Caenorhabditis elegans: one gene and its partner. The protein of the gene in region 1 interacts with the protein of each later gene in a biochemical or structural test. Each region holds a gene or a part of one and is shown in the gene's direction. Other genes may lie near its edges.

Region 1 (4,990 bases):
AAAAAAATTGATATTTTCATTTTTAAGTCATGAGTTAATTCGAAGAATTTTCTCACTGGAACTATTCCACATTTTATTCCGTCAATATAGCAACGGTGGGGAAATCGAAAGATCACTAATACAAGTTTTGTTACATGTAAAACTTTTACACGTTTTTAATGAATTCAAATGAATTGTTCATTGATTCAATATTCTTCTCACATATCAACAGTTTTTATTTTCACCTCCCAGTTTTTTCAAATTTAATAGACATAGATAAAAAGTTCGGCCTTTTTCTATCTGTGTTTTCCATTGACACATTTGATCAGGAAGCTAATACAACATATGGGTGGGTGGGCAGAGAGGTCCGCCACGTTTTATTTTTGCTGTTACTGCGTCGAATTGAAGGGCACATCAAAATGAGTATTACAACACGATCCACGGAGCTTAGCGTTGCTCTTCTCGAAACAAATGATCAGAGGAGTAGAAGACACAACGCGATTCCAGGAGAGCACTGAAATCCCATCAAAACGTTGCCCGAGCTCTGATGTCTTTAATGTCCAGCTCCAGGCCGCCACACATTGTACTATTCGGCGAGCCAGCCAACTGACACCAGCCGTGTGTCCTGTCTTTTGCTCTCCTGCCACCTCCTCCAGTTTTTTGATGCTACTTCAATACATTCTGTCTGATCGCAGCCAAGCACTCGCAAATCAAATCTCAGCAACCCCCGCAATGCGACGGCACATCGAAAGCTATTCCCATTCTTCATTCCAGAATCTTCTTATTTCTTTTTCTTCCCCTTTCCTTCTTCTTCGTCATCTTATGCTTCTTCTTTCTATCCCTTTTCCCATTTATGTCTTCTAGTTCAACTCATTTCGTTTTCAGCCCATTCAACTGTGCTTCTTCTGCATATTTTAATTTCAAAACTTACTTTCAGAGTTTTGTTTCTTTTCCATTACAAAAACTCGAGACTTGTCTGGAATGAGAATCAAATCATATACTTTTTAATAAATATATTTTTGCTCACTCAATCTATGATGAAAAAAGAAACTACTTCAACCAAAACTGAGTATTCAGTATTCTCTCCCCTTTTCCTGCCTCTAGCTACATAATAAGACCTTCATTAAATTTTTATTTGTGCTCACTTCTCGTTTTGAAGTCTTTCTATTCACTCACATCAGTCGTCGTTTTTCACGCACTACTACTTCAAATTTGTATGTTTTGAGCAACGTAAAATTGTTTCTACCACCAATTCTTAGATCCGAAAATTTCATTTTTAGTATTATAATTTGATTACTATTCGCTGTCAGATTCATGACCGAGGCTAACAAAACACGCAATGAAACGCCTTTCAAGAAAGCCATTACACGATAATTACCGCTTAAGCTGTCAGTTTCGGAAGCCCTCGCGAAAAAATGGTGTATGCTCATTTTGTTCTCAGAGCTTCTGCAGAGCACTTCACTCACTTCGAATTTTCCTTTCAACTACAATTATTGTCCTTCTATCCACCACCTTTCCTTGCTTCCTAACAACATCCGCTCAACTAACAACTCTCACCTTCACGTTTTTGGTTTCAAAAACTAAAACACTCGCACTGAATCAGTTGGTGATGGCCATTCCACCATAAATTCATTGTTTAATTTTAACTTCCCCTATAGCTTCCATTACCTTTTTTCACCTAACATGTCTTTGCGCTTCTAACTTCGAAAATCTTATGTTTTCCGATATTATTTTCTCCCTCTGTTCACTTCGCTCGCACTTGCACTGTCCCAATTTAAACATCACCACTCGCACATAACCACGTTAAAAATTGTAATGTTTGTTATTTGTAAAATTTTGCAGATTGAAATTTTCAGAATGTATTTAAAATTTCAAAGTACTGCGATAGGCGTACAGGTTATTGTAATATACTCCTACAGTGGTTCGAACAATACATTACAACTAAACTGACAAAGTGTTTATTGGAGCACCAAAATTGGTTCATTACCAACAATAACAATTTTGAAACCATGTCTGAAATATATGACGATCATGTACCTAATGTGTTTTTTTTCTGAAAAACAGTCATAAATTTGGTAATCAATTGCTCCAGAATCTCTTGGCTGAATACAAGGTAACCAACACAATGTTGTCGTACTTCTTCACTTCTTACATCAACCTGCCAAAGTGAGCGCATGCATTTCAGTCATTTTTTATCTTTTTAATATACACTTACTTTCAAATTTTTGACTAGAAAGTTAGTTGGATCTGCACTAATGTTTCAATCGCTTAATAACACACCCATCACTAAGTCTTCCTTTATTTATTTTTTTTTCGAACAACATTCACTGAGCTGATAAAAATACCGTTTGTGTGCGTATCGTTCCAGCAAACCTCACACCCAAACACTTTAGACTCATTCCGTTTCATGGTTTTGCCTCTTCTATCAATCTGTTTTCAATTTGAATCCCCTTTCTCACGTTTACACACACCCTTGAATACCTTCACACCCACCGTACCTCTAACGCTTTCCACCAATTGCTTGGCACATCCCATAGTAGTCGTAACCTTTGTTTTCTGTAAATGTGCTTCTAATCAATTTGCATTTAAGGACTTGAAAATGAGCCAAATTGATGAGAACATTCGCTACGGCGGAGCTGCCAACGAAACCGATGGCGAGGTAAACAAAACAAAGTCATTTGTGTTTTTGAAACGATATTGTTCAGGATGCCCAACGAAAAGCCCAAGAACGCGAAGCCAAAAAGGCCGAGGTGCGCAAGCGCCTTGAAGAAGCAGGACAAAAGAAACAGAAGAAAGGATTTTTGACTCCAGAAAGAAAGAAGAAGCTCCGCGTAAGAGAACATTTGACTTTCAACACTTACAGATTCATTTTCAGAAGCTTCTTATGAACAAGGCTGCTGAGGATCTTAAGACACAGCAATTGCGGAAGGAACAAGAAAGAGTCAAGGTCCTTGCTGAAAGAACCGTTGCTCTTCCAAATGTTGACAGCATTGATGATCACGGTTCGTTCAGTGCTTTAGGCAACAAACAAAATTGTGTATATTTCAGCTAAGCTCGAGGCTATCTACAATGATTTGTTCTCCCGCCTCTGCAACTTGGAGGAAGAGAAATATGATATCAACCACATCACCACAGAGACTGAAACTACAATTAATCAACTCAACATTGAGGTTAACGATCTTCGTGGAAAATTGTATGTCTTTAAATAAACCCAGCAGTGCTAGTGTGTTTTCACCTGCTCCAATTCCGCATGACATGAGAAAAAACTATTTTCAGCGTAAAACCATCATTGAAGAAGGTGTCCAAGTATGACAACAAGTTCAAGAAGATGGCTGAAGCCAAGAAGGAAGATGGAAGCAAGAACTTGAGAAATAATCTCAAGACAGTAAAGAAAGAGAGCGTCTTCACTCAAATTGCCAACAAGGTAAGTTTGTAATAAGTTTAACTGGAATATAAAACTAGTTTTTACTTGAACTGTCAAGAAAAACATGTTAACAAAAAGTAGCCTGCCAGAAAAATTTCTAGAACACATATTTTGTGTTCACAATATTGAAAACTGGCTGAAACAATACATCAATATAGAACATTAAATACAATGTTTAAAATTGACATTTAGAATCCAAAAAACTCAAAATAATAAATTATATCAATTTGTAGTACTCAGAAACATATACTTATTTTATCAACATAACTTTAAAAATTGTTTTCAAATTGATATTTGATGAATTGAATTTACAATAATCCACATTTCAGAAGAAATCTGACAAGCCAGAATGGTCCAAGAAGAAGGAAGAGAAGAAGGAAGAAAGCGCCCCAGAACCAGTTATTGAGCCAGTTGAGGAAGAAGAAACTGCTGCTTCTGAGGGAGAAGAAGAAGAAGAAGAAGCCGACGAGGAATAAATACCGGCATTGTTGTCATTATCTTGTTCACTGAATCTAACTAATCATTCTCGCGTATAATACATTTCATCAATTCAATTTATGTGCCTTTTGAGTTTGAGTATTCTTAAAATTTTGTGCATGTAAAAGGTATTTGGCCCTTTTTTATAAATCTTCATTTGTTTTGTTCTGCCGTTATACTGTTTCAAAATTTCCAGTATACATTCTTTGTATTCTTTCAGTAATATTCCATCTTATTCTTTTCTGCATATTCGCAATAAATGAAGTTATCACCAACCCGGAATTACAGAGCAAAACTCGAAAGCAGCACAGAAAGGCATTTCTATTTGTGTGAATTATCCTAACGATTTTCAGCTGTCAAACTAACAAATGTAAATGAAACAGGGAATAAGGCAAAAACACCTGGAAACGCAAATCGCCGCCTTCTCCGACGTCACCAAGTGTAACCGGGTTGAGACGAAATAAAAGGAGCTCGATAAGCCATTTTGATTCTGAGTTAAACTCGAGATTGGTTTAATATGGAAAGAGTTCAATTTTCATCCTACGATGAAATGCTCCACTACAACTCACGAGTTGCGAATCAATTCCCAGGAGTTGATTTGAACGTTTTTCGGAAGATTCACTATCTGGAACTTCTGTCACAAATGTTTGGTATGTTAGTTCACAATTTTTTTAATACATTTATAGTTTTTAGGATTCCTATTTTACACTTTCTACCTGATAATTTTTCTGGTTCACGGAAAAACATTCTTCATCTCCGAGCACACATTCAAAGCGATCTTCATTATTCAAATGATCACTTTCGGCGCGGCACTGGTCATTCAGAAGGTATTCAATTTTAGTTTTAAAACTGTAGCATCACACAATTTCAGTTTTCCTTTATGGTCAACTCGGTAGAATATGTTACGTACTCAACATTTCCATTTATTCCAAAGTTTGTGATCTCCATTTGTGATCGGCTAGTAACGGCTCAAATGCCTTTGTATTGGTTTGTTGTCAGTGCTTTTCTCATAATTCAAATTGCCCAATTCGCTAATCAAAAGTATGTGTTTCTGTCAAAACAACATTCTAATAAATACATTTTTCAGTCCACGCGGAATTAAACTGGCAC
Region 2 (4,868 bases), 5.0 Mb from region 1:
TCGAACATGCGACTGTGCTATTTTTTCTCAAAAAGTGATAAAAACTTAGTAATTTTCACTTTTTGTGTGTCAATTTTTTGAATATGTGCAAAGAGTTTTTGAAACTTTTTACTATGATATTTGATAGTTTTGGTACTATAAGAGTGGTAGTTCAGAAAAATTACCCCACTGCCCCTACTCCACCATAGACTAATTTGCTAGTTAGAAACCAAAAATACAATGTTTCAAAAAATATGTTATAAAATACAAGAAAAATACAAGGTGTCAAAAACATACATTTTCTGAATAAGGGTAATTTTTTGACATTTTCGAAAATGTAATCTATATCTTTGATCTCATATGTTAATATCAAATTAATTAGACTAAAGTTTTGAAATTGATGATTAATTACTACATTTATTTTGTATTTCACAAAGATGTTCGTATTTCTTAGAATAACACTATTTTTTTGCAATAATTTAATTAGTGTGGACTGTTGTCACCACATTGAACACACTTTTCGTAATTTTTTTGCCTTGTTTATTATTATGTTCTTTGAAATTAATGTTTTATTTATTATTTAGAATCAATTTTTCAAATTCCCTTAATTGGATCCCCGCAACTGAACCAGACGGCCAATTGACACTGGCTTACAAGAATTTGAATGAAAACGTCTCGAAGATCATCAGCTGCATTCAAATGAAAAGAAAGAATATTTGTATTATTGTTTTGCGTTTTTACAATTGTGCCACCCAAATATTATTCGTATGCTCGCCCCGCTTGTCTTATTGCAGGGGCCACTGTGAGTGGATTTTTGGTGGAAACGAGCTTGTTGGAAAAAGATGATAGCCGATTGGCAAGGTGCCTCGGTAAATTGGAAACTATTACACAAATATCATTGATTTCTAAACATTGAATTTTGAAATTTAATATTTGTAGAAATATTAAAATGATTTGTTTACTTTAAATGGATCAATTTTAAAGAGCACTACGTTTTCATTTGCGCGTTAAAATATTTAAATAAAAGTGATGATTCATTGAAAATTCGTAATTATAAAATAAGTTTACCGTATTTTACCTAAATTTTAACAAAACTTTTTGAACCACATAAATATTTAACGCGTTTTTATTATTTTAAAGCTGACCAATTAGAATTAGTGTGCAGTGGAAGATACAAGAATAATAGGAAAATCACAGTAATTTCTAAAACATATTAACTACTTGTTAGAAATTTTTATCAATTGACCAGTATAAACTATGTTGTTTTTTTCAACTTGTCCAAACTCTTCATCATCATCTGTCTCTTGTTGGTCCCTTGTCTGTGTCAGCGTAGGAGGAAGAGATAGTGAAGTGCACATCTTGGTGATCGAGAGAGAAGCAGAGAAACCCGTTTCTCGAATCAATGTTGGTGATTCAAAAATATATTGAGCCTTCGGATCGAAACATGATGCCCTATTTCTACGATAGCACATCACAGAAGTCTGCGTATTCTGAGGAAACGCAGACTGCCCGCGGGAAGCCCCAGGCAGAGAGAAAGACGAGAGCCACACGAGGAGGGCACGGCTGCTCACTCTGCGTAGGTGTAAGGTTTACAGCACAGATTGTGTCCGTATGTTATACTTTTCTTTTCCCTGAGAGCTCCCGCTCCCGCCAGCCCCTCCCACTTATCTGCCAACGACGGCCTCCCGGAGCAAGCACTTTCATATCTCTTCATTGTCGATTTCAACATCCCACCGGCACATACTCAAATTTCCTTCTTCTTCTGTGTCATCACTTCTTATCAATATGTTTTGAGATTTTGAATTTTGAGAATTTAACTTTCATATAATTACAGAACCTAAACCTAACTAATCATGTCCGACGAGGAGGAGGTATAGTAAGTTATATACCTATCATTTTTCTAGACATTCTAATTTTTAATTTTTTAGCTCTGATGAGGAGGTCGAGGAGGAGGAGGTCGAGGAGACCGAAGAGGCCCCAGCTGAGGCTGAAGAGCCGTAAGTTTAAGCTTTGAATTCGTGATTTTTTGTATAACACTGAAATTGTAGAGAGGAGACCACCGAGGAAGTAGTCGCTCCACCAGAGGTCAAGGAGCGTCGTGCTCCAGTCCAAGAGGAGAAGCCACCAGCGGAGATGACTGAGGCTGAGATTGCCATGTTGGTGAGTATAACTTCTTGGGAGACCTTCCGTTTCATTCATAAAATTGTTAACCAAATTCATATCTAGGCCGCCAAGAAGCGTCACGAGGAAGAGGAAGCCGCTAAACTTCTCGATTACGAGCAGCGCCGTGTTCTTGAGAAGGAGCAAATCGAACAAGAGCTTCGTGAACTCAAGGAGAAGCAAGAGAAGCGCCGAGCTGAGCGTGAAGAGGACGAGCGTCAGTTCGCTGAACGTAGACGTCAAGATGACGAGCGCCGTCGCAAGGAAGAAGACGAACGCAAGGCTAAGGCTGATGCCGAGAAGATCCGCAAGAACGAGGAGAAGGTCCGTCGTCAACAAATGATGGCTGGAGCTTTCAACGGAAGAGTTGAAGCCGGAGCTGGACGCAACTTCACTGTCGCCTCCAAGGGAGACCAAGCTGCTCAATTCGGAAACTTGGCTCAGGTATTTTTATTGTATCATTTTTAAATCGAATACTAATTAAGAAACTTTCAGGCTAAGGGAGGAAAGGATGTCATGAGCAAGGAACAGATGGAGGATGCCAAGAGAAACTTCTTGGCCGCCGTCTGCCGTGTACAAGACGTCTCTGGACTTCTTCCAAACGATTTGAAGGAGAGAATCAGAGGCCTTCATGCTCGTATCGTCAAGCTCGAGGCTGAGAAGTACGACTTGGAGAAGAGACGTGAACGTCAAGACTATGACGTAAGTTTAAACTATTCAATGAGACTTATTTGATATTGTGTGTGACATTCAACCAAATTTCAATTACTTCAGATGAAAGAGTTACACGAGCGTCAACGTCAAGCCGCCCGTAACAAGGCTCTCAAGAAGGGACTTGACCCAGAGGAGGCTGCTTCCTCTGTCCATCCACCAAAGATCACCACCGCTTCTAAGTTCGACCGTCAAACCGACAGAAGATCTTACGGAGACCGTCGGTACTTGTTCGAGAACCCAGAAGAGGAGAAGCAGGCTTCCCTCGTCCGCGGAACCGGACGACCACCAGCAGAGTGGGGACGCAAGCAAAACGAAGAACTCGAGCAGATCCGCAAAAACTTGGAGCCACCAAAGTACGTTGAGCAGGTCAAGGTTGAGGGAGCCAGAGCACCAGTCGAGCCAGTCCCACTCTTCGTTCCAACTGATGACTTCGAGCCACAACAAGTCACCGAGGATCCAAATGTTGGAGAAGAGGTCGTTGTCGAATAAATTTCCTGTTTTTTACCTTTTTTCATTTCACAATTTTTTGATTATCAAATTTATTAAAATAAACCCAATCCCAACCAAAAAAAATCCATTTTCTAATATTCCAATCAAAACTTTTTGCATTTGTTTCCAATTTATTAACCAATTCTCCAATTCTTCAAGTACTCTGTTTCTGCATACTCTCCGGTTTGTGCTTATCAGTAAAGTCTTTATCATAAAAATTGCATTCCCATTCGAATTGTAAGCATTTCATGAAACAGATTAAAACAAGAATTCGTGGAAAGACAAATTTTGATTATAATATTTATTATTAAAGTTTGAATAAGTCGAGTCAACGGAAAAAATATATATGAATAATATAAATTGAAAAAGGAAAGGACTAAGACGGAATTGGAAAAATATGAGAAATTGGGATCTAGCTAATGAGAAAAATAATCGTTTGAAAGCGGTGAGAAAAAATTTGCTTACAACAGCAAAGTTGATGAATTTCTGGGGCAAAGTTTTTTGTGGTAGGAGAGAAAATCGGCATGACACGCCACAGTTTGATGTGTGTAACAAACTAATCAGAGAGGCATTTGAAAACATTCTATGATAAAAATTATACACATTATCAAATTCAAAATCAAGTTATCAAATTCAAAAATAAAAGTTATTGGTTAGATTTGAATAAGCAAAACAGATACGAGACACACATCTGGGGCCAATTTTGAAAACGACCTGGGGAATTTTTAGAGTTTGGGGAGTAGTTATGGTTGGGAAGAACATCTGGAAAGTCTGACAAATAGGCCTCATAGTATTTGCTTATGTTTTTTTTTCGCAAAGTGAGAAATGAAAGCAACGGGGCGAGAACAGTGAGGAACTGGGTTTCAGTAGAGAATTACAACCGAGAAGCAACAAAGTTTACACCAGGAAATCGAGAAATGTACAATAAAATGACAACAGAAAAATAGAATTTTGAAGTGAGAAGAAATAATCAATTGGGATACAAAGACTAACGAGCATAAATTTTCAATAATTGGGATAGAAGTTGATGAGAAATTGGGAATTGTTTTGTTTTAAGAATGAAAAAAATTGAAAGCTTTCGTTTACAGATAGTGTATTCAAAAATGTACCTAGTGATGAAATTACTAATTTGGAGACACAGATATCACTCAGAATGGTCTTTCATTTGTGGATTTATAGTTTTTAGAATGTTGTGAAAAAGTACAAAAAATTCAAAAAAAAAATCGAAAAATATTCGGGTAAAACAGGTAAACAAGTTCATTACAACCAAAAGATTTTCATTTCAAAAAACAAACTCAAAAAATCGATTTTCAATGTGTAAACGTTAATCGTACAATGCGTTTCATCTGATTAGTACATTTTGAGGGAACTTAGAATTCGTCTTTGACATTTGAAATACTGAATTTTAGAAGTTTCACTTATGTTTTTTCAGCTAATATCATGACATTTCCTGACTACAAAACCAGGAAAATGGAAAAAAACAAAGAAAATGGGCTCACAAGAAGATTTTTAAACCTCTAAAATTA

What was found.
Region 2: the proteins of tni-1 (region 1) and mup-2 interact in far-western blotting, tested with the Caenorhabditis elegans proteins (one study listed by BioGRID).

Annotation. Positions count from the first base shown.
Region 1 is NC_003284.9:11,375,050-11,380,039, reverse strand, and holds tni-1 (Troponin I 1), read left to right. Parts: upstream 1-2,569; 5' UTR 2,570-2,578; coding exon 2,579-2,638; intron 2,639-2,684; coding exon 2,685-2,810; intron 2,811-2,854; coding exon 2,855-2,981; intron 2,982-3,027; coding exon 3,028-3,172; intron 3,173-3,255; coding exon 3,256-3,403; intron 3,404-3,732; coding exon 3,733-3,879; 3' UTR 3,880-4,153; downstream 4,154-4,990. Other genes in the region: F42E11.3 (Brp/Blh family beta-carotene 15,15'-monooxygenase), read left to right, coding at 4,431-4,530, 4,574-4,707, 4,752-4,921, 4,968-4,990. UniProt on the Caenorhabditis elegans protein: Troponin I is the inhibitory subunit of troponin, the thin filament regulatory complex which confers calcium-sensitivity to muscle actomyosin ATPase activity.
Region 2 is NC_003284.9:6,407,173-6,412,040, reverse strand, and holds mup-2 (Troponin T), read left to right. Parts: upstream 1-1,813; 5' UTR 1,814-1,832; coding exon 1,833-1,855; intron 1,856-1,907; coding exon 1,908-1,976; intron 1,977-2,027; coding exon 2,028-2,139; intron 2,140-2,205; coding exon 2,206-2,583; intron 2,584-2,634; coding exon 2,635-2,841; intron 2,842-2,913; coding exon 2,914-3,342; 3' UTR 3,343-3,570; downstream 3,571-4,868. UniProt on the Caenorhabditis elegans protein: Troponin T is the tropomyosin-binding subunit of troponin, the thin filament regulatory complex which confers calcium-sensitivity to muscle actomyosin ATPase activity.